4 linked regions of the Rhinolophus ferrumequinum genome follow. The protein of the gene in region 2 interacts with the protein of the main gene of each other region in a pairwise test. Links are inferred from orthologs where the notes say so. Each region holds a gene or a part of one and is shown on either strand. Other genes may lie near its edges. The genes, in order: MX2, EHMT2, RD3 and KLF3.

Evidence for each region.
Region 1: the proteins of EHMT2 (region 2) and MX2 interact in binary tests that used the Homo sapiens proteins (3 or more experiments, as listed by UniProt). The two-hybrid records come from large-scale screens. The link is inferred for Rhinolophus ferrumequinum from reciprocal best matches to the Homo sapiens genes EHMT2 and MX2.
Region 3: the proteins of EHMT2 (region 2) and RD3 interact in binary tests that used the Homo sapiens proteins (3 or more experiments, as listed by UniProt). The two-hybrid records come from large-scale screens. The link is inferred for Rhinolophus ferrumequinum from reciprocal best matches to the Homo sapiens genes EHMT2 and RD3.
Region 4: the proteins of EHMT2 (region 2) and KLF3 interact in binary tests that used the Homo sapiens proteins (3 or more experiments, as listed by UniProt). The two-hybrid records come from large-scale screens. The link is inferred for Rhinolophus ferrumequinum from reciprocal best matches to the Homo sapiens genes EHMT2 and KLF3.

The regions. Positions count from the first base shown.
Region 1 is NC_046285.1:105,548,957-105,556,430, forward strand, and holds the start of MX2 (interferon-induced GTP-binding protein Mx2), read left to right. Parts: upstream 1-4,458; 5' UTR 4,459-4,594; intron 4,595-7,474.
Region 2 is NC_046286.1:2,354,088-2,362,039, reverse strand, and holds the start of EHMT2 (histone-lysine N-methyltransferase EHMT2), read left to right. Parts: upstream 1-4,944; 5' UTR 4,945-4,972; coding exon 4,973-5,252; intron 5,253-5,348; coding exon 5,349-5,567; intron 5,568-5,667; coding exon 5,668-5,921; intron 5,922-6,699; coding exon 6,700-6,784; intron 6,785-6,872; coding exon 6,873-6,913; intron 6,914-7,027; coding exon 7,028-7,183; intron 7,184-7,952. Other genes in the region: ZBTB12 (zinc finger and BTB domain-containing protein 12), read left to right, coding at 951-2,330. UniProt on the Homo sapiens protein: Histone methyltransferase that specifically mono- and dimethylates 'Lys-9' of histone H3 (H3K9me1 and H3K9me2, respectively) in euchromatin.
Region 3 is NC_046305.1:20,547,757-20,554,702, reverse strand, and holds the start of RD3 (protein RD3), read right to left. Parts: upstream 3,012-6,946; 5' UTR 2,779-3,011; intron 1-2,778.
Region 4 is NC_046288.1:61,378,022-61,385,542, reverse strand, and holds the start of KLF3 (Krueppel-like factor 3), read left to right. Parts: upstream 1-4,507; 5' UTR 4,508-4,605; coding exon 4,606-4,677; exon of another isoform or gene 4,678-4,723; intron 4,724-7,521. UniProt on the Homo sapiens protein: Binds to the CACCC box of erythroid cell-expressed genes. May play a role in hematopoiesis.

The sequences.
Region 1 (7,474 bases), on a different chromosome or scaffold from region 2:
GCAGCTGCTCGCCTGGAAAACTTGGAACACATGTCAAAAAATATGTCCCTCTCTGCAGGGGCAGGTGTCAGGGGTGGTAACCAGCCCCCTCTCTGGGTTCCAGAGCCCCCGAGAACCCCTCTGGAGAGCACCTGTGCCACCACTGAAAAGGCGGCAGGGGTGGGCAGGGGCTGGGGGATGCAGGGGTGAGTAGGGGGAGCACGGAGGATGTTTCGGGCAGTGAACCAACTCCGTGTGATGCTCTGATGGTGGACACACGTCACTGTCCATCTGTCCAAACCCACAGAAGGCCCAGCGCCAAGAGGGGCCCCTGCTGTAAAGTGTGGGCCCTGGGTGATGACGATGCGTCACTGCAGGTCCATCAGTTGTAACAGAGGCCCCACCCGGTGGGGACGCTGACGGCGGGGGAGGCTGTGCGTGCATGGGGGGCGGGGGGGGGGGGGGGAAGCGGGGGCGTATGGGAAACCTCTGTGCCTTCCCCTCAGTTTTGCTGTGAACCTAAAGTGATCTAAAAAAGTAACTTTCTTATAAGGGGAAAAGAAGCTGCCAAGGAGAAGACTTAGATGGGCAACAATCCCTGAGCATCCTGATTGCCCAGTCCCTCTGTGGGGTGAGCCTCAGCCCCACCCCAGCAGAGGCTTGGCAGGCCCCGGGACAGCACAGCTGGGGGCCGGGAAGCAGCTGCCCCTCCCACACAGAGAGAGGCCAGCGCCTCTGGCTTTCTGCCCTGGGAGGAAGGCCGGAAACGTAGGGTTTTTCCTGACCCCTCTCAGCACTTTTATTACCAAGATTCCTGGACTTTTGACACCACAAAATCCTAACAGATATTGTTCCTGACTGTGGAAAGGGTGTCACCAGCTGAGACACTCCGCCTGAGTGGGCCTTTGTCTCACTCTAGCACCAGAGCAGGGGCACAGCCCGCCCCCAGGCCACTCAGCCCCCTCCTGTCAGGCACCATGCAGGAGAGCGGACAGGATATTCCTGTGCTCAACCAGCTTGGCGTGACCCTCCATCATTCCTCCTGGCACCCGCCTTGTTTTGAGGGTCACCATTATCACCCCCATTGGAGCAGGTGGGTCCCAGAGAGTGAGGGGTCAGTGGCCTTGGACCCCAAAGTGCCCTGCGGGAACAAACACCTGGGTAAGATCTGTGCCTGTCCACTGGACTCCCGGGCCCCCTCTGAGGAAACATCCATGTGGCCTCCTCTGTCCACTGATGTAGAGAAGATGTTAAAGAAAATTTGCCTTCATTGGTGGTTGTGAGCTTTTGTCTATTAGCGTTTGTCTGTTTCTGTATGTGAGGTGATTTCTGTGCTGTGATCAGGGGTTGAGTAAATTCCCCCTTTGGTCTCCTTCTCCCAAGCAGGGGAGACATGAGATGAGGTTTGTTGTTCAGTCCATGTTGTGAGGTGATGGTTAGCTTAGGATTAAAGAAATTCTTGATCAGGGGTGGAGAGAATTCCCTCTTTGTTCTGTCTGTTTTGCCCACATCAGCAGATGAAGTGAAGAAGTAGCTAAGTTATATCAGGACGACACAACAGGCACATTGCCAGGCTTTAGAAGACCTTGGGCTGAAGGTCCCAGCAAGAACAGTAGATATTGCTTGTCCGGATGAATTGGCCCTTTGGCTGGATGGGCAGCATTCATATCAGTAACTGCTGGACCCTCCCGGAACTGGCCATTCCCCGAGGGAGAGGCAGGAACAAGAAACTTGGCTCTAAGGTGAATGTGAGGAAATGTATATGATAGACCTCAGTTTGCAGTGTCACTATAATTATTGTTCCATCATCTGGTAATTTTGTCATTGGTGATTTCTCGTCATTCTAACATTGTGAAGACCTCCAGCAACATGCAGCTTACGACACCCGAGGAGGTCCTGACTTCCAGCCGCGAGCCTGGTGAGGTCTGGCTGGTTCCCGGCCTCTCCAGTGTTGTTCCCCACGGTTAGCCTTCTTGAGAACTTGTTAGCATCTAGAAAACTTGTATGCAGCTTGCAGCTTACAATATCAGAAGACGCCCTAACTTCTACCAACAACAAAGACCTCAACAGCAGTCTTAGGAACTAGCAAGAAGCGGTGTGGGAGATGCCTGAGTTTCTCTCAGCTACAGACCTGGCAAGGTTTTGATTTATGACTTTTCCAGTGCTGTTCTCCCCCGGGTTGGTGAGATTTTGGCATCTACTGTAATAGTTACTATCCTACAAAGCTTATTACTGCTTTTGGGTACTCCTTACTGATGTTATTTGTGTATTTAGCCAAGTGATGTTTGATCAATAGTAAACATATGTTGGGATCTCTTAAACTTATATGTATGTGGACTCCTTTGACGTGACGTTGTTATCAGTGTATAGAGTTTAGTCTTAACCACCTTTCTGTCATTAGCACATTCTATTAATTGCCTTTGTCTTTTGCTGTTGCATATTGCTGAATAAATTGATTAGCTATTGCTAAATAACTAATCAATTAGCCTCCCTAGTGTGTCCCTCCTCCTCCTTTTCCCCCCTGCTCATCATTACAACTGAGAAAGCAAACTCCGAAGGAGAGGCCCGTCCGAGGGTGGGCACACTCTGCCCCCGGTGGCAGGGAGCTTCGTAAACTTGCAGGGGCCCTGAGAACGGGTCCCTTCAGCTGCAGTTTGAGCATCAGCTGACCCTGGTTCCTCCTGGAGAGGAGTGTGTTGGAGGGGATGCCGTTTTCCACAAAGAATGGAGGGTCCCCCCGCCGTTCTTGCTGCCTCCATATAAGCTGCATCATTCTGCCCAGCTTCCAAGGTTCCTTCTGTTAAAAAAAGAGACAGCAGGCCCAAAATGGACTCATTTGTGCTAAGCTATGTCACCAAACCGATGCTTAATACCTAACCTAACTGCAGTCCTCCCCCAGGAATGTAATCTTAAATGATCAGTTTGGAATTTCCTGGTCAGCAGTAGTAGATTCCACTACAGTCATCACTGTCATCCACCCCATAGATCAACCCCTCGGGTCCCCCCAAAGAAAAATGAGGTAATCTGCTTTTTCCTTCTCCCTGCCCCCTTCTGTCTATGAAAAGCTTTCATTCAGTGCAGCAACTGGGACTCCTTTCTATTTGCTGGATGCGATGCTGTGTGATTCATGAACCATTGAATAAAGCCAATTTGATCTCTAAATTTGTTCAGTTGAATTTTGTGTGTATTCCTTTTTTTTTTTTTTTTTTTTTATGCTTCACTTGTGCCTTTCCGGGAGCCGCAGAGCGAGCAGCAGGGCCTGTTATAAAAGACCTAAGTGGTGAAACAAACAACCATCAGTCTGCAGAGGGCCCAGTCCCCTCCCCAGCCCCTCCCCCCCAGCGGCCCCATCCTCGCGGCCCTCACCCCGCCCCCGCCCCGCCCCCTCAGCCCGGCCCCCACTCCCCCTTCCCCCCTCTCCCCGCCTCCAGTCTCGCGGTCAGTGTGGGATCCTGCAGCCCACCGCTTGCCCCATGACCTCCTCCGAATGCCGGGATTTAAAGAACATCTTTGAAGCCTCCAGGTTCCTTCTTTAAAAGGAAAACCTGTCCACAAGGGCAGTCAGTAAAATGAATGAGCAAGGAGGTGGTGAGAATGAGTTTTGTTCATGTAACATGTTTTGGAGAGGACTGCGTGAGTGGAAATCAGACTGAAGCCTGCTCCCTCCGTCCTGCGCCAGCCCCGCTTCCCCGGGGCTTCTCCGGGCTTCCAGACCACCGCTCCCACCCGCGGGTGGGACTGCCTCGCTCGCCTCCATCCACTGCCATCGCGGGGGCGGGGAGGGGGCCTTGGGACACCTGGGGGCTCACTGCATTTTGGCAGGCGCGGTACCTGAGGACCAGAAAATCAGGCCGCCTCAGGGCCGAGTTCTGGTCTGGGCCCCGCCCTCTTCCTGCCACACCCGGCGGCGCGAGGCCTCTCCGGGGCTTGGGAACCTTCGCCAGTGGGAGAGAGAACACCTTGTACAGGTGGGTTAATTGCCTGACGCTGTACACTTAACCTGGGGGAAAGGTGGCAGAGGGTGACATCGGTCTGCGGTGGCTCAGGCGGGAAGCCAGCAGGACGTCTGAGAACTTTCAGATCACACGCTTGAGTGAACTTGGCCGCCCCCCCCCACCACCCCCCCACCCCCGTCTGTGTGAAACACCCAGCTTCTCCCGCACCAGCCACATTTCAAATGCTCAGTGGCCTCCTGTGGCTTGTACTGGACAACAGAATGGAACATTTCCAGCATCGCAGAAAGTCCCAAGGGACAGCGATGCTCGGTCACTGGATCCCCAAATGTGGGTCGACACCAGCTTCCCCTGAAAACATGGTTGCAACGCAGGTTATGCACCCCACGCCAGGGCTCGGGCATCCGGTCCCCCCACCTGCGGGGTAGGTCCAGACCCCCCATTGTTCACGAGCAGCCCCAGAGATTCGCCCGTGGACCATTATATGAGTCACCCACGAACTTGATCTCCAGTTTCATTTCCGTGGCCAGGGCATTTGGTTTCATTTCTCCGGCTGTTGGTAAAGAGGAAACAGTGGGGAGGAGGGGTTCGCACACATATAAAAGGGAAGCCCTGGACGGGAGACAAGGGATTGGCCCAGTGTCGGTTCCGAAGGCGCACAGGTGAGAGCTGGGCTGGGGCGGGCGGGCGCGTCACGCCGCCGTTTTAGCGCAACAGATGGGCCTTTCCGAAGGAATGCCTGGTAAACCTGGCTGGTGCCAGAGGCAGGTGCCCTAAAGGTCGGATTCTGACGCTGCCCTGTGGGACTCTCCTTAAGCCCCGTGTTGGCGCTGGCCCCCAGCCAGCCCCTCTCGCTGAGGGTGCGTTTTACAGAAGTGGCCCCCCTTCCCGAATCTGGCCAAAAGCCTTGTGGCCACGCAAGGGGCACTTCTTGGGACACTTGCTCAGCATCCGTGGAGGGCACACATCCCGGGGTGGGGCGGGAACTTTGTGTCTGTGCAATATTGTGATTTATTGGAAGAAATACTGTGCATTACATCCTCATAGTTTGAAAGGTGCTGAGAGAATAGATCTTAAAAGTCTTTATCACAAGGAAAAAAAATGTTGTAACTGTATGGCGATGGATGTTAACCAGACTTATCGTGGTGATCGTTTTGCAGTCTATACAAATATTGAAAACAAAAAATTCAGTAGGTTACCTGGTCTTCATCCTGGTTCAGAGCTTGAAACCCTTGTGACTTCTTTAGAGGGGAAAGTGTTGTCTTTTGTCATGTTAATGAGGTGACCTTTGGTCTATTGGGGCCTGGTTGTCCCTGGAACAAACCAGGTGGTTAGAAGGTTGGGACTTTCAGCTCCACCCCCAACCTCCAGGGAGGGAGAAGGGTGGGAGGTTGAGTCAATCGCCAATGGCCAATGAGTTAATCAATCACCTATGTACTGAAGCCTCCATAATCACCCCCAAAAGGACGGGGTCCAAAGAGCGTCCAGGCTGGTGACCACGTGGGCATTCAGGAAGAGGGGCACCCTGGAGGGGGCTCGGGAGCTCTGTGCCCTGTCCTCACACCTTGCCCTGTGCCTCTGCCTGTTCCTGAGTTACATCCTTTTGTCATACACCAGTAATCCGGTGAGGAACTTGTTTCTCCGAGTTAAGTGAGCCATTCAGGCAAATTAATTGAGCCCAAGGAGGGGTTTGTTGGAACCTCTGATCTAGTCAGTCAGAAACACAGGTGACAATCTGGACTTGCCCTTGGCATCTGAAGTGGGTGGGATGGGGGGGCTGGAGCAGTCTTACAGGACCGAGCCCTTACCTGAGGGATCTGATGCCATCTCCAGGTCCGTAGTGTTAGAGTTGAGTTAATTGCTTGTTGGGCTGGGGGATGAAAAACACCTGGGAACTGGGATCAGGCTTGCAGCCCCAAAGCCTGGCATCCGGGCTTCAGGGGCCCTCTCAGTTATGGTACTGGTGGCCCAGGGCTGCCCTCGGTGGTGTGCGGAGAACTCCACCTTCTGAGGGGACAGGGCCCTGACTTCTGGCATTTGCTGATGCTCTGTGGTACCAGGTAGTGCTACAATATTCTGCCTTCAGTTCTTACTTAGAGAGACATTGATGCCAAGTGTGCCCAGCAGAGTGGGATTTGTGGGGAAGAGATGAGTTGTAAACAAACCTAATCTCCTCCTAATCTACACCTCCAGGTGTCAACAAACCTGGAGGATTATGTCTTGGGGCTGCCATGACAAGGTTTAAACAATTGAAAGTATTCTCTCCCCCGGCCCTGGAGGCTGGAAGTCTGAGATCGGGTTTCCCAGGTTGCTTCCTCCTAGGACTCGGTGTAGAACCCTTCCTTGCCTCTTCTAGCTTCTGGTCGGTGCCAGCAATCCTTGGTGTTATTTGGGGAAAGTATCTCCAGATGCTGTGGTGGCCTCTCCAGATCGTGCCACCAGCCAGAAGAAGAAATCCACATGGTCACCCAAGACATGGGGCCAATTGTGGCAGATTTTTCTGGACAATCAAACAGTCAGCTCTTGCCTTGCCGAGAACTGGGGGGTTAAGCAGAGGACAGGGTGAAGGCGTGGACTTGGGTCCTTGCGTGATCTCATCTTCTTTCTCTTTCCTGGAAACTCCGTGAATCAGATGGTTGTTGTTGTATTCTGCTTTTAGGATAAACCAATTCCTAATTAGTGTGGAAGGAGGCAAAATACCCCCACAGGCCTGTCTAAAGGATCATAGAGATTCAACACAAGATGCCAGGTCAAAGGGGAAACAAGTTTTTAGTTCATCACAGTGCTCTTCACTCTGCAGCTGTAGTCTCCTCAGCAGACCCAGGGCCAGGAGGCCATGCTGGGGATGGACACAGGGCACTGGGATTCAGGCCTCTGGGGCCTGCAGAGACTCCTGGTGCTCAGTGAAGCATGCGGAAAGCTCAAGCTCCCCCCGCCCCCCACCAAAATAAAAAACAGCCTACAGGAAGAAGTGCAGGGCAGAGGGGCTTGTCTTCAAGAGTGCATTTCTGAAGTTTGCCCGTCTCTTATGGTGTTCGGCCATACCGTTCCAAAGCCCGAAAAACTTGACTCTTCCTTCTTTATCAAAGTAATGTATTATTTACTGGCCTCCTGCGTCTGTCGCCTTCCAGCCATGGGCCATGGTGTCCTGGCTGCTTAACTGGTCTGAACTCCACTGCCCCTTCTCATATAAAATTCGGGATAATGTAAATGAGATGTGCAAACCACATAGCACTTGGGGAGGGCACACCAGGGCACAAATGACAGCCAAGCACGCCCTGGACCCTTGGGAATTGTGCCTGACCAAGGGTGCAGGATCTGAACTGTCTCTTCTCCTCTCCCAGAAGAAGAGGAGCAGCGCCCGCTCCTGCAGCATGGCCCCTCCGCAAAGTCACGGCTCGTGCGCTTACATTAAGGAGGGTCACATACTCCTTGTTTTATTTCCTTGTATTGAGGAGAGTAACTAAGTTGATGGCATGTCCTTGAGGGCAATTTGATTTAAAACAAAACAAAACCACAACAAACAGAGACGGTTCACACAG
Region 2 (7,952 bases):
CACAGAGGAGGGGGAGCGTGAAAGAGGGGGATGTGGAACGTATTTCCGCTCTGGCGGACAAATAATACCGGCCAAAGGGGAGGCCTGGTCGTCCGGCCCTTTAACCGTGTGGGGGGGGCTGGTGAAGAAAGGGGGGTCGGGAAGGGGGGAACTCCTGCTCCTTTAATTCCCTCCCCTCTTCCTCCTCCCCGAGTTCTCGTCGCGGCCGCCGCGCGCGGGGCCTGGAACACACAGCACGAGCCACCCCCGCCCCTCCCCCCTGACGCCCACGCGGAGCCGGCCCCGCGCGCGCGCCCTGTGCACCCCCGCGCCTGCGCGCTGCCCAGGCCCTGCCCGAGTGTGGGGGCGCCGGCGGCCCCGGGGGGGTGGGGGAAGTAGGGGGGGAAAAACACAGCGCGCGGACCCGGGCCAGGTGAGAGGCGCGTGCACTCAGGGTCGTGGGGCTGGGGGGGGCGTGCCACGGAGCTCTGAGCGGGGCGGGGGGGGGGGGGTGGCGTGCACCATGCGTGCAGGCAGCGGGGGGAGGACGTGAAAGGCGCGTGCAAACGTGCAAAGGGGGGGCGGAGGAAAGAGGCAGCGAGTAAAGGGGGCGGGGTGACAAGAGCCTGCATCCTGGGCACCCCAGAGCCTAGAGTCCAAGGCCTCTGCTACCCCTTCCTCTGTGATTCCGAGGGCACGAGGATTCTCCCCATCCTCGCGGTGCGGTTGGGCTGGGGGTATGGACGCCGCTGCCCCGCCCCCGGGAACCACGCCTCCCTCCCTTCGGAGGGACAGCGCCTCCCCCCGGGGCAGGGGAAACTGAGGAAGAGGCCTGAAGACTGGGAGATGTGATGCTGGGGGACCGGGCAAGAATGGGGGCGAGGGGCCTGGAGCCTTGGCTTAGGAGAGCCAGAGACCTTTGTCTCTGACCGGTTTCCTTCCCAACCAGGGTTGCCCACTCCCCCGCCACAATGGCCTCTGGGGTGGAAGTCCTGCGCTTCCAGCTGCCTGGCCACGAGGCCGCTACGCTGCGGAACATGAACCAGCTCCGCGCAGAGGAGCGGTTCTGCGACGTGACCATTGTGGCCGACAGCCTCAAGTTCCGCGGCCACAAGGTCATCCTGGCTGCCTGCTCCCCTTTCCTGCGGGACCAGTTCCTGCTGAACCCCAGCTCTGAGCTGCAGGTCTCATTGATGCACAGTGCACGCATCGTGGCCGACCTCCTGCTCTCCTGTTACACGGGTGCCCTGGAATTCGCAGTCAGGGATATCGTTAACTACCTGACGGCTGCCTCCTACCTGCAGATGGAGCACGTGGTAGAGAAATGCCGGAACGCCCTCAGCCAGTTCATTGAGCCCAAAATAGGTCTCAAAGAGGATGGGGTCAGCGATGCCAGCCTTGTGAGCAGTGTCAGTGCTACCAAATCCCTCCTTCCTCCTGCCAGGACCCCTAAGCCAGCCCCCAAACCTCCCCCCCCACCCCCTCTACCTCCTCCGCTGCTGCGGCCTGTGAAGCTGGAGTTCCCACTGGATGAGGACCTGGAGCTGAAGGCGGAGGAAGAGGATGAGGATGAGGACGAGGATGTGTCTGACATCTGCATCGTCAAGGTGGAGTCGGCCCTGGAGGTGGCACACCGGCTCAAACCTCCCGGAGGCCTAGGAGGAGGTCTGGGCATCAGTGGCTCAGTGGGCAGCCACCTGGGGGAGCTGGCCCAGAGCAGCGTGCCCCCCAGCACTGTGGCCCCACCACAGGGTGTGGTGAAAGCCTGCTACAGCCTGTCTGAGGACGCAGAAGGGGAGGGCCTGCTGTTGATCCCCGGAGGCCGGGCCAGCGTGGGGGCCACTTCGGGCCTAGTAGAGGCAGCAGCGGTGGCCATGGCTGCCCGGGGGGCGGGGGGCAGCCTGGGGGCAGGGGGCAGCCGGGGCCCTCTGCCAGGGGGCTTCTCCAGTACAAACCCCCTAAAAAACATCAAGTGCACCAAGTGCCCGGAAGTGTTCCAGGGCGTGGAGAAGCTGGTCTTCCACATGCGGGCACAACACTTCATCTTCATGTGCCCGCGCTGCGGCAAGCAGTTCAACCACAGCAGCAACCTCAACCGCCACATGAACGTGCACCGCGGCGTCAAGTCACACTCTTGTGGCATCTGCGGCAAGTGCTTCACGCAGAAGTCCACACTGCACGACCACCTCAACCTTCACTCAGGAGCGAGGCCCTATCGCTGCTCCTACTGTGACGTGCGCTTCGCCCACAAGCCTGCCATTAGGCGGCACCTCAAGGAGCAGCACGGCAAGACCACGGCCGAGAACGTGCTGGAGGCCAGCGTGGCTGAGATCAACGTTCTCATCCGCTAGCCGGGCAGGCGCTGGGTTCCTGGGTTGGGTGGGAAGGTGGCTCCCTGGCCCAGGAGAATAGGGGGTGTGTGTCGGGGACAAACAGGTACGGTGGGGAGCCTGAGCAGACATACACATCCTGAGGGAAGCGCCCAAATTCCTTGGAGAGAAGATCCTGCATCTTCAGAAGAAAAGGATGGAGAGGCAGAGAGTTCTTGGAGAAGGCCAAGGGAATATGGGGTCCCAGAGAAAGATTGTCTTCTCTTAGAGGTGCATGGAAATGTGGAGGGAGGGAAAGGGTCCTACAGAATGAGGAGGAAAAAAGACTGGAAAATGTTTTATTACTGGCTAAGCCTTCCCAGGGAGAGGTCTGACATTTCTTGAGGTAGGGGTGGGTGGGAGGGAATCGGGAGGGAATTTGGCAGGAGGCAGCTCACAAGCTTCTGCTTAGAATAGATCCTTGGGAAAGGGACTGGTAGGGGGAAGGATTATTGAATCCCAGGAAAGTAAGTGGGGACAGGTCTTGCATGCTGGGAGAATGGGACTGTGGGTACAAGGCTCACTAAAATTCTAGGGAGAACAAGTAAGGTGGCAGGTAAGAGAACATGGGTGAGCATCCTAGGTAGATATTGGGAAGTGGGGTACAATAGCAAGAACAAGAAATAGTAGGGGGTGGGGGGTAGGGCACGTAGATGAAAGGACACAAGAAGGGCTCTTTGGGGGGAGGGAGAGGAGTAGAGACATACAGTATTTTTTAAAGAAACAAAACGTATTTTTTAGGATTTTTTCTGGAGTTTGGGCTTTTAGTTTTTCTGCTTTTGTTTTCCACAAAATAAAAAAAGAACAATTTTTTTTTCTTTATATACTCTGGCAACTGCTTGTAAATGACTGACCCACCCTAGACAGCCTCTCATTTGCTCAATACCCAGAAGTCAAAACTCATGCAGGTCCCATGCCTAAAGGAGCCTTGACAGCAGAAGAGCAGTGTGACAAGTGGGCTCCTCTGACAGGTACCCTCCCAGTTCTGCAACTTCCACACCTGGCAGACAGCTCACAGCACAAGTGTTCTGTGATTTCTTTGGCAGTGGTGGTAACACATGACCTGCTCCTCTGAGGAGTTTGGTATCAGGTCCAGGGATATGCTACAGGTGTGATCATTGTGCCCACTGAAAGTGTAAGCAGGAGCCTATGTTTGGGCATTTTTGGTCTGGGGAAAGGGCTCACGCCCTCGGGAAAGCTAAAAACCACTTTGGATTAGGGTATGGGGAAGACTACAATTCCCAGAAAGCTCTGGAAAAGTTAACCAAAGACAACTACAGTTCCCAGAAGGCCTTGAATTGGCCTCAGGTGCCCTATATCCGAACCACCTGCCTGTGTCAAATACTGCTGGTGAAATCAAACAGATGTTTTCCTAACTTTGACCAGAAGTAGTACTTAAAGGGACGGTACCCTAAATAGAGTTATCAAGGTTGTACACCAAGGCCTAGTATCATTCATACTTCCAGTGTGGGCTGGGCTATGTATGACCCACGGAGTGCCTGACTATGCTTGTGAAGTGTTTGGCAAAAAAGGTTATTTTACTAGAGTGTCACTAGACAGTAATGACCCTTGGGCCACTGGAGGCTTACCTGGATCCCTAGTGCATGTGGTGGCATAACATGTCTGTTACAAACAGAAGAGACAGCCCCAGGTTTCAAAGGGGGACATGAAGCAGCATGCTAGAACCAGCCAAGAGTAAAAGTGTTCTCTGCGCGTCCCCATCATCCCCTTCTTGCTCGTTAGAGAAGCGAGGCCAAAACTGAGGCCGAGCTTTCTGCCTGGTGACCCAGAAACTAGAGAGCAACACGAAGCAGAAGCACACGCGGACCAGATTGGAAATACAGCCGCTGCCGAGAGCCGGAAGGCTCAGACGCTCCGCTTGTTACCTAAAACAGTGGGGGATGGAGACCCACACCCGGACCCAGGCGTGCTTCACCTTCGGTTCCCCGATGAGCTGAAGCTAGGAATGGCAGGATTCGCCCCCACAGCGCCCAGCTTAGGGGAGCCACTGCCATCTCCAAGGCCGCTCTCGGGGGAAAATGGCCAGAGGCCTGTGCAGTGGCTCCTTTAAGGCTCCTCCTAGCCCTCCCTCCCCACCCACGTGACCCGGGGCGGCCGCGCGCCGGCTCGGCCCCCAGCGCAAGCGGCGATGGCGGCGGCGGCGGGAGCTGCAGTGGCGGCGGCCGCCGAGGTGCGGAAGGGGAGGGGGAGAGGCGGGTGCATGCCCGCGCGCGCGCCCGGGGGAAGCGCGCACCCGTGCAATGCTCCGGGGGTGCAACGGGGCCGGGGGGCCCGGGCGGGACTTACAGCAATCCGGAGGGCCAGCACCGGGGGCGAATGAGGGGACCAGGGGGTGGGAGGTGGGGGGAGTGGGCACGGAGGCGCGCGTGCAGCCGCCGGCTGTCCCGGAGTGGGCGGCGGGCGCCGGGGCCCCAGGAGCACGCGCGAGGGGCACAAGGGGCCGTCCACCGGGCTGGGGGGCAGCGGGCGCTGGAGGGGTTGGTGCCCGGGGTCCCCGCGGCCTGGGGGACAAAGGGGGAGCGGCGCGTGCAGCCGGGAGGAGGGGGCGGGGCCGGGGCGCTGAGGCCCCGCCCCCTCCCCCTCCTCTCTTCTCGGTCCCTGAGATGAGGGGTCTACCGAGAGGGAGGGGGCTGATGCGGGCCCGGGGGAGGGGTCGTGCGGCCCCTCCCGGCAGCCGAGGCCGCGGAAGGGGGGGATCCCATAGAGGAAGAGGTAGGCCCCGGAGCCTACTCTCTCTCCCCAGGGCCCAGGCGTCCTGGGCCCCCCAACTTCCTACTGGTCTGACCAGTCCTCCTATACCTTGTGTCGCCTCCCAGGGAGAGGCCCCCGCTGAAATGGGGGCGCTGGTGCTGGACAAGGAGCCCAGAGGAGCCACCGAGAGAGGTGAGTACAGCAGAAACGGGCCCATCTGGACCTTCACCTCTCCAAATACAAGATCCCCTGAGCCCTTAGCCCTGAACTTTTTCTCTTCCCTTACAGTTCATGGCTCTTTGGGGGACACCCCTTGTAGTGAGGAGACCCTGCCCAAGGCCAACCCCGACTCCCTGGAGGCTGCAGGCCCCTCATCCCCAGCCTCTGTCACCGTCACTGTTGGCGATGAGGGGGCTGACACCCCTGTAGGAGCCACACCGCCCATTGGGGATGAACCTGAGAATCTTGAGGGAGATGGGGACCTCCAAGGGGGACGCATCCTGCTGGGTGAGAGGCTTCGGAGTCTGGGGGTGAGGTGGGGTATCCTCTGACTCTGCCTTCCTTCTTATCTTGCCTCTCTCTGCCTGCCTGCCTGTCTGTTTTCCAGGCCATGCCACAAAGTCATTCCCGGCTTCCCCCAGCAGGGGGAATGCCTGTCCCAGCCGTGCCAAGATGTCAATGACAGGGGCCGGAAAATCACCCCCATCAGTCCAGAGTTTGGCGATGAGGCTGCTGAGTATGCCTGGAGCCCAGGGGGCAGCAGCAGCAGGGCCTGAACCCCCTCCAGCTACAACCAGTCCGGAGGGGCAGCCCAAGGTCCACCGAGCCAGGAAAACCATGTCCAAACCTGGAAATGGACAGGTGAGGATTGTGAGAGGGTTGTGGGGATGGGAGGGCCAGGTAAGCAACCTTCAACGTCTTGTAGGCTTTTTTTACAATTTAGCTTTGGGCCTTCTCTGTTCACAGTTTTACATATTTATCAAGGGGCTACTTTGTTTAAATTCTGGGTTGGGGCTTAATCTGAACTAACAGGTTCCTGTCTTCCTGGAGTTTATAATTCCTGGGAAGAGCGTAATAGAAGAGACAAAAGTAAAGACTTACATAGTTCAATGTTTTAAGTACTCTTAAGATAATGACTATGTAAAGAAACTTCAAATCACTCTTTCTTTCTACCTCAAAGCAAGCCCCCAGAGGATTTTTTCCTGTTTTTGAAACTGCCCCTGCTTCATTTTTAAAGGTTGTACCTCCTACTGGGAAGGAGATATGGCCCACAAATGACAGAGGTCCCAGAATCTCACAAGCTTTATGACTGTGTTTTGGGGGCTCTTGGTAGCATTTTGTTCTGGGTGTGGTTTGGGTAGCTTTGGTCAAGGCCTTAACCTTTGTTTTCTCATCTGTAATATGGGAAGAAAGGGCCTGCTGCATGCTTGAAGAGAGAAATGAGGGTTAGGTATGGGATGTGCTTGACACACTTCTCAGGAGACAGCAGTTGTTATAGCCACATTCTGGTTAGTGCAGGTACAGATGGCATTTTTGAGGGTGTGGCTACCATCCCACCCACATCTGGGGCTCCAGGCTAATCTTGGCCACCGACCCTACTCCTTCCCTGACCCTAAGTGTGCTCCCTCTCGGTCCCCAGCCCCCAGTCCCTGAGAAGCGGCCACCTGAAGTGCAGCATTTCCGTATGAGTGATGACATGCACTCGCTGAGGAAGGTGACCTCAGGTCAGTCCCACCTCCCACCCTCCTGGAGCTTGATGTGGCCAGTCCTGAGGATTTAGGGTACAAGCCTCACTGCTTTCTCTCCTTCCAGATGTGGCCAAAAGGAGGAAGCTGAACCCGGGAAGTGGCCTGGTGAGCCTCGAGAGGCAGGGAACAAGGCCTCTCCACCTGGGGGCCTGCTCCAAGGGAAATGGGTTGGTTGGTGGGGGAGTGCTAGGAGCTTCCATTGTTCTGATCTTTTTCTAGTCGGAGGAGTTGGGTTCTGCTCGGGGTTCAGGAGAAATAACCTTGGACAAGAGGGACCCTGGGTCCCTGGAGGAGTGGGAGACGGTGGTGGCGGATGACTTCAGCCTCTACTATGACGCCTATTCTGTGGATGAGCGTGTGGACTCTGACAGCAAGGTGAGAGGGGCCAGCCATGTCCGGGTGCACTCTCAGTCACCCCCTGTGTCAGTCACCCCTCAGTGGCCCCCTGTGTCACTCTTCTCTTTTTATCTTCTGAACACCCCCTGATTCACTGCCCCACACTACGTTAACTTATTGCCATATATGCTGCGCCCCATTCCATCCCTGTGCCCTTCTCCATAGTGGCCACCATCCTGGACTTGAGGTTTAGCATCCCATTTTATGGTTTATTTGTTGTTTGCTCGTTTATCCCTTTGCTCTTGGTTTATCTCATACATGTTTGCCTATGCACTATAATGCTGCGTCTTGCCTGTTTTGCTTTTTATTTTGTGTTTTATCATGAAAACTTTCAAATACAGATGATCTTGAACAACACTTTGAGCTGCGCTGGTCCTCTTATATGTGGATTTTTTTCAATAAACACTGTAAATGTATGTTTCTCATGAATTCTTACATTTTTTTCTCTAGCTTTATTGTAAGAATATAGTATATAATATATAAAACATACAAAATGTATTAATCAACTGTTTACGTTATTGGTAAGGCTTCCGGTCAACAGTAGGCTACTAGTTAAGTTTTTGGGGAGTCAAAAGTTATACATGGATTTTTGGCTGTGTGGGGGTTGACACTCCTAACCCCCGTGTTGTTCAATAGCCAACTGTATAAACAAAAGAATAGAAGAATGAGCCCCATGTAGCCATCACCCAGCTCCAACAATTTTCAATACTCAGCTGGCTTTTTAAATAATTTTTTTTAATTTTCAATT
Region 3 (6,946 bases), on a different chromosome or scaffold from region 2:
AATAAGCCCCAGTGAATCGTCAGCCAGATGGACGCATTTAATACGTTATGACGATGTTCCAGAAGAAGATGACATGACTGTATTTGAATAAATGTAGATTGTTGTACATGAAAAAATAAGACATCCCCTGAAAATACGTCCTAATATGTCTTTTGGAGCAAAAATGTAAGACCCGGTCTTATTTTCGGGGAACTACGGTATATCTCCAATTGTTTTTAAAAACACGTCAAAACCTGCATTTCAATACAGCTGGTTTCTTTCGTAATCCTATGAACTTAATTTCATGCACTTAGAAACATTTTGCTGAAAACGTGTCCACAGGCTTCCACAGGGGACCATGGCACAAAAAGTAAAGGATCCTGGTTTGGTACAAACTTGACCCCAATCCTGATCCTGGCCTTGCCCCAACCCTGGCTTCTAGGGAGGCCTCCCCTCGCCTCCTGACCCCCATGAAGGGAAAGCTCAGGGGTAGAGCTTCAGTTCACCCAGCACCAATAGGAAGGCTCTCACTTGTTCTATCTCTGCCCTTTGGCGCCACTCCCCTGAGCTCTTTCTCCTTCATTCTCTGCCCTTCCTCTTCCACCTTCCTCTCCCCTTCATTACCCCTTCCACCCCCACACTCTCTGAGCCTTCCCTTAAGCCTATTTTTTAACATCCCTGAGGATGACATCTTTTCTGGGGCTCCCTGGGAAAAGCTACCACCAGCTGTGGCTCGTTAGATACTTGAATATGCTAGAAACATCATCTCCGTGCCGCCAGGGCAAGGGGAGTCTGGTTCTAGGCAGCGAGCAGCGGGAGGGGGACCAGGAGAATCTCAGTGTGGGTTGTGTACCCTTGGAGCAGGAAGCAGGACTCTGACTGCCCCGCAGAAGGCATGGGAGGTTTGCCTGACTCTAGCGATAAAGGCCACCAGCCCCCAGCCAACCAGGGAAGGACAGCTCAGTCTCTGCCAGGAAGCTGTTTTCTTGGTACCAAGACAGGGAGCCCCACCCAGATGCCACCTCTGAGCTGGGCTCTAACAGCTGAGCTGGACTCTGCAGGCCAGGCTGAGGGGTAACCGGCATGCTTCCAGGGACCCGTGGGCACCCACTGTCTCCCTGAGCAGGCAGGCTGGCTTTGCTGAAGCTGGATCCCGAGTCTGGGCAGAGGTCTTGGAGCAGGTACGGAGAGCAGGTGCTCCCCTCTCTAACTGACCTTCCTCCCAGCCCTGTTTGCCAAGGTCCAAGACCAGCTTCACAGACTGCAAATGGACCTTAGTTTTCTTTGGCATCATAGAAGAAGAATAACAGTAATCCACCAAGCCCGGTGTGACTCAGCCTCACCTGTGGGCCTCTGCCCACCTGACTAACACCTGCTCATCTTTTAGGACCCACCTCAAGCATCAGCAACTCTTTGCACCCTGCCCCTCACGGCACCCCCTGAGGTAGAACGGTGTGCCGGCCAGTACCTGCCAGATGCCATCATGGCATCTGTAAGAAACACGTTTCTCACTTTTTTTTATTGTTTTTCTCTCTCTCCACTTGGCTACAAGCTCTGTGAAGGCAAGAGCTGAATTTGTTGACTCTGCTGACAGGCAGTAGGCACTTGATAGGTGGTTCATGAATGAATGAATGAATGAATGAATGAACGGCAGTTTTCCTCATTCTGAGGCAGAGGTTCAATCAGAAGGGAGCAAGTACTCGGGTCCAACTGGCCATAGTTGGATGGGGTTAATCACCAGGAAACTCTGGCCTGGTCCCACAGTTGCCCCTTGGACTTTTCCTTCCCAGGCCAGGTCCTCTTCCTGGAGCCCAGCCCACACCTCTCTGTCCAGGCCTGCTCTCCTGGGCGTGTTATCGGGGACTCATAGAAAACTCTGTGGCTGGAACCCTGAGACCCACACATCACCCACGTGTCCTACCCACTGCTGTGTCCCGAGAGCCTGATTCTGCACCTCGGGCTTAGTAGGTGCTCAAGTTACAGCTCTCAAATTGATGAGAGAATGTCCGATTTGGGATTCACCTCCCTTCTCCTGCCTGGGTCCTCCCCCTAAAAACAGAAGAGAAAATGCTGGGGCGGGGTCCTCCCAAACAGACACGCTGGTTCCAGAGCAGACAATAGCTATGGCTTCCCATGGGTTTATAAAGCAAGGACACGCCACAGTTCGAGGATGCCTGTCGTGCAGGGTCTCTGGTCCCGCTCCCCACACAAGAATGCAGGACATGGTGAGGCCAAAAAGGAACACCCACGGAGCCATAGGTAGGGGAGTCACACCACTGTACTCTCACTGGCCGCTGGGTTGGAGACACAAGAAACAGGAGCCACACAATTCTCAACCCTCACTGCACAGCTTGCAGGCTCAGCCAGCATCTTCTTGCTCGCCCCCATTTTCTGCTAGCCTAGCCACGGCAGTTATATTAGTGCCCAATGGCTCACTGGTTACAGCTGACGGCCAACTAGCCACAGCTGATGGCCATTTGATCACAGTCGATGGCCATTTACTACCTGAGCCAGCACCTTTCTATGTAAGGCCGAGAGTCTGGAAACTGCTTTTTGGGGCTCTGTCCCCACAATGCCACAGAGACCACCGACTCCTGTGGAACAGCTCAGGACTGACAGGGTCTCCCTGTGGCCATCTGACCCTGGACTCAGACTGCTCAATAGACTGTCCTCAGCCTGCCACAGCCCAGAAGCTGCCTCTCCCAGCTCCAGGCTGACCGCCCTCAGCTCTCATTTCTTAAGGCACAGCTGCTGTCCAGGTGTGGAAGCCACTGTCTCCGGAGGAGACGCCCCTCTTACCTGGTTCTCTGAGGTCTGCCTCCACTGAGGTGAAAGGTCCAACAGGGGTCCTGCTTTCTGCTTCCCAGTCTGGGAGAAGAGTGTCTGGATCTTTTCAAGGAAAAGCAGAAACTTTGGAAGCCATGCATGGGAGGGCAGGGTAGAGAGAAGACTACATCCTAAGCGTCTCCTTCCTCTTTCTCTTCTGCTTCTGGCTGTGGCCTCATGCTTTCCCCTCTCTTTCTGCCTCTGAGAAGTTGTGCCGAAGAGAAAACAACACTGACCAGAGGAGGGATCCAGCCTGCTCTGTGTGTGAGTGTGTGTGTGTGTGTGTGTGTGTGTGTGTGTGTGTGTGTGTGTCCCAGGAGGCTGGAACCACGGCTCCTCTGAAGAATGGGAGGCAGGCCAGCTCCTGATCTGTGGTTGCCTGGAAACCCACCTAAGCCTCTTTTACCTCGTGCTGTATTATCTCTAGAGGGAGCCCTCTGACATGACGCAGACACCTGAGAAAACCCAGTGGGGGAGAGAGGCCTGCCTCCAGATGGCTTTCTCAGCCGCTTCCTCCCCCAGCTAAGGTGAGGGTGGCACAAACGGGAAGCAAGACCCCTCACTGCACCCTCTGCAGAGTCCTAGGTGGACCTGCTGTGGGCAGATGTTTCCAGCTACTTGGTGAGTGGTTCCTGGCTGGAGGTCTCCTCTTCCCACCTCCTCCCTCCACCAGGAGAGGGGCGATTCTGGGTGCCGAGGGCAGCGGCCTGAAAAGACGTGTCTTTACCCTAGTCTCACGCACCCTTACCTGTCCTCCTCTTTGCTAATCAAAATTCTCTCCTTCCCTCAAGGCAAACTCAAGTACAGAAAGTTATTCTGACTTTCTGGAGTTGGGGTGAGCCTGAGGAAGTAATCCAGGGAGAAGAGGGACCGTGAACTGTGGTTACTGACTTTGAGGTACTTGAGGTGACACACAGGGGCTGGCAGGGACCTCCTGTTGCTGTCTGGCATCCCACAGTCACAACTGGGCCTTCTGTCTGTCTCTGTGCTCTGGACACACTGTTATTTGCAGACTATTCTGGCTATGGCCACGTGAGGGCCAGCTTGCACCTAACAGACATTTGGTGGCACTGAAACGGATGTATGCTGCCCTGTGAGGGGCCTGGGGGAACTGTAATGGGCCCTAAGCTGCAGTATAATAGATCTCAGGTGATGCTATACCAGGTACCAGGTGATGGAGTGACTTCTGGGCAAGTCTAGTCCCGATCGTGTTGAAAATAAAGCAGAAATTAAACTATCTGATGAGCTGACTCAGCTTGCCCACCTGTCTGCCTGCATGTTTTTATTTTTTCCCTGGGTGATATGCCACTTCATGCTTGTTCTATGGCTGGTTCCATTGGGCCACCTGAATTCCTTCCTTCGTCATCTTCTCACGCAGGGGTCTTGAGTCAGGAGCCAGGTCATATTATTGCAGCACAACAGTCCTAAAGGTTGGGAGGGTCGCTGATCGGATGACAGACACACATTTCGAGCCGCTGAAGCTCACTTCCTCAGACCCACAGTGCCGAAGTGGCTTCCTCCCCACGGCCAGCTAAAGCACGAGCAACCTAGAGCAGGTAACTGTAAGTCCTCTGAGCATCCCTCTGCCATCCTGGCATGTCCCCAAAGGCAGAAATTCCAAGGAATTTCCATGCTGGGGGGAAGGGAGCGGCAGGACTAGAAGACTCTGTCCTCCCTTTGGGAAAGTTCCTCGAAGTGACAAGGAGAGGAGGCCAGTGATCAAGTTACACACTCCTTCAGGCAACATATATGTTGCAGCACTTTTCTATGCAGGCACAATGCTAGGAGCCAGCTGAGAAGGGGGATCCCACCCTCCTCCCCTCTCCACACTGCCCAGCCAAGCCTCCAGGAGGCTGCGTCAGACAAATAGAGAGTGGGGAGCAGGGACAGTATTAGAGTTCAGAGCTAACGGCTGTGCAAGCTACTACTGACCATTCTGTTAGAAGGAAAAAATTCATCTCTTTTCTATAGCCATGCATTTATCTTGCCATGCACCGTCAAGCACACACAGCTAATATAAAGGAGAGCCTATGAGTCAACGTTCTGAGCCATCTAAAGGAAGCTTCTGTTGCAGCAATGTGCCAAGGAAGATGTGAGCTTCAGGCTCCTGACCTGTGACTCTGGGGAACACACTCACAGACGACCAGGTGTTTACATCCTCCCTGCAGACCCAGCTGGCTCCTTCCTTGCCCTTTTCAGTGATGCTAATAACCAGGAGAGGGGGCCTCTCCATCCACCTTCCCTGCCCTGCCTGCTGCCTTGACAGTAACTCAAAGAGGACTTGCTGTTTTTGTTGACAGCTAATGTATTTTGATGCCTTGTCCTGTGGTGTGATTATCCACGCTGGGTGTGAATTTGTACTACAGACAGAGGTCGTGGTGGTTTTTCTCTCCTTTGGCATCAATGGAAGTGGCTGAAACGTAGTTAAATATGCAGCAACCCTTCAAATGGAGTAACAGCAGTGGGGCCCATGACATTGCCTCACAGATGGCATTTGATTAATAAATTGCAGATGTGGAATTATGAAGTTTTTGGATGTAAGGCTGGATTTAAAACTGGGGAGACATTGAAGAAGAGCCCTGATCCCAGATGTCAGGCTGTGCATCCTCATATGCGGGTGCTCCTCCTGTTCCCTACTCCCTGGCTTCTTTCCAGGCTGTGGGGACCATTCGAAACTATTTCTAACCACTCGGTCATGCACTGGATTTTCGGAGTCCTGCAGATGGTCCCTGTAGCTCAAATCCTGCATGAGACTGAATTAAACTGACATGATATCCAAAGGTACAGACCAGACTTGCGCTGACCCACACCTCTTCTCTCTGGGTAGCCCTCTTTCCACTCCTGTGGCCACATTTCCTCTCCCAGGTAAAGGAAGCATTGAACCTGACTTCAGGAAACATTAGAATGCTCACCTTCCTCCCAGCTGGCTTGCTTGAACCCCTGCCGCCCCTCTCTCTCCGTCTTTCCTCTCTTCTCCATTTAGCCTTATTCTGTTTAAAATGTATATCCATTAAACTAAAGGGAAGCAAGGAAAGAGACAAATGCATTCCTCATTCATTCATTCATTCATGCATTCACCGTGTTTATTGACCATCTGCTCTGTGCTAGGGAGCACCTTGGTGCCCCATTCTATAGAATTCATTCACCATCGGCTTCTTTTAGGTTCTGCCCATTGGTTTGACAGACTGATCTGAGAGCCTGTGGCAGAAAGAGCCAGTCCACCCAAGATTCATGCCCCTTTTCCCGAGTGAGGACATTTCTCAAGGAAGCAGCTAACCAGAGACTTCATTACCCAGCTTCCTTCGCTTCTAGGTAGGGCCATGTGATGAAGGATTGTGGGTGGACGGGATGTGGGTGGAAGAGCTGAAACACGATGACAGAGTGTCACCTTGTTCGACCTTAGCTGGGAATATGCTCACTGGGCAGGTCACATTTTCACATCGTGTTTCATCGCAAGGCCTGGCTTATAAAATCTCCCCGTCAATTCCCCACCTTCCATCTCTTCCCTCTTGCTGATGGTCAGCAAGGGCTCTGGGGGCCTAGAGGATGGCGGAGCCACAATTTTGAATGAGCCTCGGTCTCTAAATTAGCACGTGGAAGGCCGCCCACCAATCACCCATGTTGAATTCTCATATGTGCAAGAAATTGATTACATCGAGCTGCTAAGACTTGGGGTTTCTCTGTGATAGCAACTGGCACTACCCTAACTAGCGACAAGGGATAGACGTGGAACATTTCTGCCCTTTTCTTAGTTCCTGGAGCTCAGAGCTCTTCCTAATATGTTCCCTCCCAGGTTTTCCATCTTCATCCCAAAGAAATGAATGACTTCACCGCACATCACCTCCTGCCTCTATGCGTGACGCACACCCCGACCCAACGCCCTCCCACCTGGGGAAGTCTTACTGATCCATCGAAGTCTAGCTCCAGGGGCAAACCCTCAGTGAATGTTGCTGTCTCCCCAGCTGCTCCCCTCCCTTCACTCTCAGAAGCTTCATTCTTACTCCTGCACATGCCGTCCATCTTCATTATTCATGGATTCCATATTTGCAAATTTGCCTACTTGTTAAATTGTATGTGTAATCCCCAAATCAATACTTGTGGCACTTTTTCAGTTATTCCAGACATGTACAAAGCCTTGAAA
Region 4 (7,521 bases), on a different chromosome or scaffold from region 2:
AAGTGGTATTTCTTATTCTGTTTTCACACCCAGTTGTGTTTACGGGAAAATAAACAAATACAACCTCAACCTTTAAATACTAGGAATTAAGACATTATTCTGGAAATTGGGTTTCTTTTTGAAGTGCTTCATTTATCATTGGTTCTAGCTTAAAAACAAGCAAGCAAACAAACAAACCCTAGAGTCATAAAACAATTGATATCTGCTTTGCTAATAGTCCAGTCAAAATTCCACTTGGAGTGAGGTGGAAGGGGAAGTATTATGATGTTTTTTTAGCATTCTCGTTTTCAAGCCTGATGTGTCCCTTTCTTAGACCCAGTCTGTCATCTGAAGCAGGAATGTCAGAGAGCCCAGAGACAGGAAACCAAACAGCAGTCTGCTCTGATAGGGGAGCGCATTGTCCAAAAGAGGTAGCCCTGCTTCCCTGCCTCCCGCCCCCAACTCTCCTTCCTTGAAATTTAGCAGTAATGAAAGAAACACAATGCTAGAGACACTGTTTCTGAGCCAAAACTAGGACTGTTTTCTCCCAAAGCAAAACGTGTCCTCCTAACTGGCCCTCTGCTTTTTCTGGAATGTCACCGTAGTTTATTGGAATTTTTTTTTCTTCTGAATTTATCAGTATTATTTCATATCCCTTGGTCAGAGTGTTTAATAGTAAACTTCTTTCTCTAGCAAAACAGGTTCCTGGAGCTTTTTGAAACTCACTCCATTGTGTTGACAGGCCAAATACATGATCGTGGCCCCCACCTAATTATTAGGGGAGCTGGAGACCAACTGTAGCAGGTTAAGTGGCCCTTCGGCCCATGCCTTCCACGTAACCCTGGGTCTAGCTCTTACCCTGATTTCCATGAAGGGAGTGCTTCCTGAGGCAGCCCCCTTCCTGGAGGACTCTTAGAGCCCAGCTTAGCCTGGGACACACTCAAGATAGTTGTCAATCTCTGGCAGGCCCAGGAATCTCCAGGGATGGCCTGAAGCTAGTCTCAACTCAGATCAGTGGAGTTTGGCCAAATCGAGACATACAAGATCAAGCGGACATCGAGGTCAGTGCATCTACCCTGGAGAGCGACCTGTGACTTAGGTGTGCGTTTTTTCTCCTTTGGCCTATATGTTCTTTCTTCTAATTACTGTCCTTTGAGTGTAATCACCGAAATCCACTCCTTTATCTGTACTTGCACTTTACACCCTGATACCTTCCAAAGTGTTGCACCCCAAAATTACTTTCATTAGTTCAAGTTCCTGTTCCACTTAGTTCTCCAAACAAGGGAGTTTTTCTCTCCTCTCTGGGGAGCCTCCCAAAGTTTTCACCGTGTTTTTGGGTTTCAGGTTTTAGAAGATGATTTTTCAGGCTAGGTTCACTGGTCCCCCAGGCAAATTTTCTCTGTGTGACCCGTGGTAGATGGTCATTCTGAGGTCCTTGCCCTTCATTTTATTCTAGCATGTGAGAAGTGTAGTTTGACATCCATTCCTGTGTGCATCTCACGAGTATTTTTTTGAGCACCTATTTATTAGAGCTAATCTCAGATTATGTGCAGTCACTCTTCTTAGTTATGCCACAGAATGGAGTCGGTCTAGAGAGCCCTGCCCCGAAAAGGTGTTTTGAAATCTTAATTGCCCTGTGGAACCTCCCCATGGCCTTGCCTGGCACGGGCCAATGTGGCACTGCACATATCCCACACCCTCCGCCCAAGGGAGTGACCCCAGTGTGAGATGATTTTACTTAAAAGTCAGCCCCACAGCACAGACTGAAGCAAAACAGAAAGCCCTGGGTCTGCAGGCAGACACACTTCTGTTCTTGGCTGCAGCTCCAACCAGCTCTGAATTTGGGCAAGTCATTTCACCTCTGTTCCTCCATTTCCTCATTTCTAAAATGGGGATGAGGACCTGACCCTTCCACCTTTGTACAGTTATTATGAGGATTTCCGTATTTACTTGGGTAAAGCTGCCAATTTCTCTCAGCAGTTTTATGGACCAGTGCAGGTGCATTGGCCAGGAAGGATAATAGCCTAATTTGGGGCCTTCAGAATGTGTCTTTTGATCTTGCGTCCAAGCCTGCACTTGCAGAGAGAGGGTAGGCATCAGGGGCCAGGTGGGAGGGGTTGAAATCGCCACTACTGTAAATATACTGTCCCCATTTTCCATATCCCTCTTGGACAGATCTGTTTGCACAAATTGCTATCCCACTATTGCTGTTTGTGTTGTGATGTTGTTCTCTGCCTGGGGAGGCAGAAGAGCAGGGTGCCAAATGTACCTTGAAGTCAGACTACTGTGGGTTCAAATCCTGGCTCTGCAATTTAGCAGCTGTGTGATTTGAGGCAGATTACTTTACCTCTCTGTTCCAGTGTTCTCGTCAGTAAAATGGGAAGGTAATACACATTTCATGGGCATTAAATCACATGGTCCATGTAAAGAACAACACCTGGAGATTGCCAGTCATGAAGATGGTGAGAATCAGCAGGAAACGTGTGGCATTACTTAGCATCTGGCTTTCCTTGGTTGAGGGAAATATCCTTTTTTAAAAAAAAAACCTAGTTTGTTTTTTTTGGCTCCCTTCCTCTCCCTCTTCATGTAATCGCCTCCTTTCTCTCTCTCTCTCTCTCTCTCTCTCTCTCTCTCTCTGTCTCCTATTTTAGGCTCTAAAACAGTAGAGACCTTGACACTAGGCTTGTTTAGAAGATCTTTCCGGGTGGGTAATAAAAAATTCTTTGAGGATGATACTGACAAGGTCTCATAACAGGCAAGCAATAACTTTTCAAAAATAAGTTTGGTTTCCATTAGTGTTAGGACCCCCTCACCCCCATTACTTATTTAAGGGAGATTTCAAGTGCATTCAGTGGGAAAGGGAAATGACTGTGTGACTCCTCCTCTGGGCTAAGTGCTCTTATATTCACTCCTTATGAGTGTTTTGTCATTTAGTGACCAAGCCTGATGGCCTTTGGGGGAGCGGGCAAGTTAAAAGGCTCAGCCTATCCAGGTAAGAAGGTGGCCTCAGATCCACTGGAGTGCGATCAGCTGGCTGCACAGAATGGGGAGCGCCTTGAGCTGGTCTTTGAAGAATTAGGAGGATTTAGATAAGCCGGAAAGGAAGGGGATGGGGCATTCCACGCTGGTTGCCCAGCATCAGGGCCAAAAATGAACAAAGGCATGGGGTGGGGGCAGGGCAGCCAGCAAGCAGCACTAAGGGCGCTTGTTGGAGCAGGGGGCAGCTGGTTAGTTAAGGGGTGCCCAGCATGGGTGCTGGAACCCACTCCACAAGCCCTGGGGATCCTGTTGGAGGGAGGAAGGTTTGTGAACTTGGGAAAGGCTAGATGAGAAGAGGGCTTTGAAAAATGTAGGTGGCGAAAGGGGTCAGGATGGATTGGAGGGGCCAAGGGACTAGGTGGGAAGACAGTGAAGGAAAAAGCTCCAGGAACACAGCGTTAAGGCACCGAGGACCTGGCCTCCAATGACAATAGTAGAAATGGAAAGAAAAGTTGATGAGGAAGGCTTAAAAGATGACCTCTAGGTTTCCATGGTGATTGACCAGCAAGTAAGTGCGGAGGAGGGGGAGAATTTGGATTTGGGACATGTTGAGTTAATTCTCTTACATAGCCACGGTTCCGAATGCATTGCTTTTGAAGGGAGAGGGCAGTCTTAGCTCATGGTTCATATCCAAAGCTGCTGGGGTTCTATGAGATGAACTCTTAATGGCAAATCCTCAGGAGCCCAGGAAATTGCCACCACCCTGACGATTCTTTCTGGTTATTTTTAAGGTTCCAGCAGCCATCACTGCTGAGGCCAGAGTTTCCAGGAACTGGCTCCTCACTGGAGCCAATTGGTCCCTCCCAACCTCCCACTCCCTCTAGGGTGGGGCCCCATGGGTGGAGGCTCCCAGGGTGGAGTGGGGTGGGTCTTCAGTGATAGGGCACCGAGCAGAGAGGCAGCCTGGCCTCACGCAGGCCTTCTGGATTTAATTATATAATACTTCACAGAAGAGAATTGCCAGGACTTAGGCCTTGTAAGATAATGCACACAGCAGGATTATACATTGTGGGTAATTTTCATAGGATCTTGGGTTGCTTGCCCTTAAAACTAAAATACGAAATTGTCAGCCTAAAGAGGGAAAACCAGTGTGTAACCTCAGTAGGGAAAATGATTAGCATTTGCTAAAATTTCTTTAAGAAAGGTGTGGAATGCTACTAGCCAGGTGCCGGCGAACTTGAGAGACTTGAGAGTTTACTTACAAGGTGTGGGTTGGGTTTCCCCACCCCCACCCCTGCTTTGCTGGGCCTCAGTCTGCAAATGTGTAGGGACTGCTTGGCTGTTACCTTTGCACCTGTCCTTATTTACATGCAAAATCAATTGCTTCACTCGGTCTTTCCGAAGTACAGGGTGTGGGCAGAATCTTATCTGAAGCCATGTCCTGTTTGGACAAGTTGGACTTGCCTTGGCAACTCTCCATAGGGTGGAGCAGATGGGTGGAGGCAGGAAAGTAAAATTGGGTGGCTTGTTAGTTGAGAGAGAAGAGAGGGCGGATTGTTTGCTCACTGGATCATTATATTTAATTTGAAACTAAATAATTAACTTCTTTCCCATTTACAAAACATTTTGATGCAAAATATCTAATTTATGAGGGGCAAAGATTTAGACATACTCCATGGGATTTTTTTTTTCCTTTCAAACCAACTAGAGAAGACTGAGGTAGGTGAAAATCGTCAATTGATATGAAAACAGGACGCATTTCCAGGTAGGTGCCAGCATTTGGCTGTTCTGAAAGGAGCCTGCCTCCTTGCATCTGTTGCCTGGCCCTTTGTATTTCTGGCCAGAGCAACTGCCATTAAATATTCAGCTCCTCAGGAGCTTGAAGAGTTTGGGTACAGAAGTAAAGAAAGAAAAGTTTCTTTGGAAAGGAAGTTTAGCTTCAGGGATGTTGCCCGCCCCCTCTGGTCCTCCTCCTGGCCAAGAATTACACATACACACAGAGATGGGGGTTTTTATTCTTTTCTTTTTTCTCCTGGAGTTCCTTTGGGGATTAAAGGGTGGGGGAAGGTAACATGCTTCCTCCTTGACTATCCAAACACTTGGGAGAGGTGGGGGGTGGGGTGGGCACTTACAGATGGTGTGTTGGTTTGATCCTGCTGTTTTTCTCCTTACACCTGGCTTAGGTCAGCTAGGAAACAGATTGGGGTTGAGGAACTCAGGTCATTTGGAACCATGGGATCAGGCTGGATTGGGGAAGGACACGGCAGGAACCCTTTGAGGATCTGAGGAGCACAAGATATGGAAAGGGCATAAAAAGGGAGATGACGAGAAAGGAGCCTGTCAGAGGCAAATCCTGCTATGTCACCAAGAAACCAAGCATTCTCTCTCCACATTTATTCTCTCCCTTTCTCTCTGTCTTCTAAGGAAGGGGTGGGAGGGGCGGAGGGCAGTCATTTATAAAGTTGTTTCTGAAATAAACATGCTCTAGCTTCATAACCTCCTTCCTTAGGGGCTGTGTGTGTTTCTAAGCTCCGTAGTGCATTTGTACCCTCATAAAGCATATGGGACTGAATAGGATTGTGAGATGCAACTATCTTACTTACGAAACTTCATGTGAATGATGCACTGCAGCTATTTAATACATAATCATGCAGTTTTCCATTTGGGCAAAAACCTGACCCTGAAAAGTCAGAAGTATAAGTGCAGAGAGTGTGAAGGGAAATCTGTTTCTTTCTTTTGGAGGAAAATTCAGCTGTATTGGCTCCTCCCAGCAAAATAACATAGTTGGGGAAGATGACACTTGCTCCACTTACAGAAAATTACTTTGGCAATGATGTTTCTGTATTTTTGCTTTTAAGCACCCGATAACTTAGAAGTTTTTAGAATCAGTTTTGCCCTTTTTGTTTTTTGAATGCAAGTTTTGTTATTCTGGGATTGCTTAGTTTAGAATATAACAACTAAGATGTAAATGTGCTTGTGATCGGAAAATAGTTGTAAGAAACAACAGAACCACATTTGGGGCCTCATCATGTCTGTGATACCCACATAAAATGGTTAACAGAATTCCTGAGCCTGCTTTAAACCCACTAAATTTAACTGAATTAAATCCACTAAATTGGCAGACTCAGTTTGCTGCCACTGTCCTAATCTCTAATACCTGTTTTAGCACGCCACCTACTGGTTCTGCGTAAGATTGCTGTCAGTGTTGTGTAATAGGTTTTCTACAGCATTTGTAGTTTTTTTTTAACATTCTTTTAAAGTCATGGTAATAGCCCAGATCACTGAGCTGCCCATGTGGAACTAAAACCACTAAATTTAGGCACCCTAATTCTTCCAGTGCTTCAGTTGCTTCTCAGTTACATGGAAAGCACTTTGCAGACATTGCAGTCCCATAAAGTTAATACCAGTGGCAAAAGTGGTCTGTTCAAAGATAGGCACAGTGGGTAGGTACAGAATATATGAGTTTTTTGCAAATAAATAAAAGCTTGATTTGTGTTAATGTGTTTGATTCTCTTCCTAAATTTGGTTCCTTTCTAGCTGAGCTTCCCTCACCTGTTTTTGTTAAAAGTTTTAGTTACAGAATTTAAAAAATTTTGAATTGGCACTCAGATGTGTATAAAGCTGTCCCATCTCCACCCTACTCCCTAGAAGCTCTTATCAGATTAGGGCACACCGTTTTCTCCATATGTCCTGTATCTTGTTCCATGCCCTGTGACTATCACTGAAAGTATAATCAGCTATTCTAGAACTGATAGCTTCTAAATTGGGAACAAAGTGCTGTTAGACATGTGAATGGACAGTGAATTTGATTCTGTTCATAGTGACAGTTGACTTTCGCACAGACTTTTTATTTTATTGTCTAGTGATGCGTTATTTAATTTGGAGTTTCAAACTGAGGTATTCTTATCCTGTCATTCCTTCTTCATTTATTAGCTGAAATACTTCTATATTGAGAAATGTCCCTTCATCATGACGGAGTTACTCTAAGATACAGTTCTGAACAAAGAAACATACCTTTACAATTCTTTTTTTTAAAAAATAAAAATGAATCAGGTTTTGTTAGAACAAATGCTTTAGACTGTTGTTTTCCCCTTATGATTACAAGTCTTGCAAAGCACTAATTTCCTTACATTTTGATAACACATAAAAATTAAAGAATGAAAGTGATTTCAGTAATGTCTTCCAATGGTACAAGGTATAGCAGGTTAGTGTGTAATTCCTGTCTAAATGGAGTCAGTAGTCGTTGCTACAGGCCTTAGGAACAGTCATTAAAGGCTTTATGCGCAAAATGGTGGAGTTAGGATTTGACCCCAAATGAACCCCAGAGCCTGTCGTCTTAATTCCACTGTGCTGCTCTTCCTGGTGGTGGAGAGCTGGAGGTGAGATGTGGGGATGCTAGGAAGGTATTGCAGGGGTGCAGTTGTGAAGGGCCAAGGCCCTACCTGAGAGCTCAGACGGGATGTGGGCAGGGATATGGCAGCTATTCACGGTTAAACTGCCTGGGGCAGAGGGGTTGTCCTGGAAGGCTACGTGTGTTAGCCTAGAGGCAAACCCCTGACATCG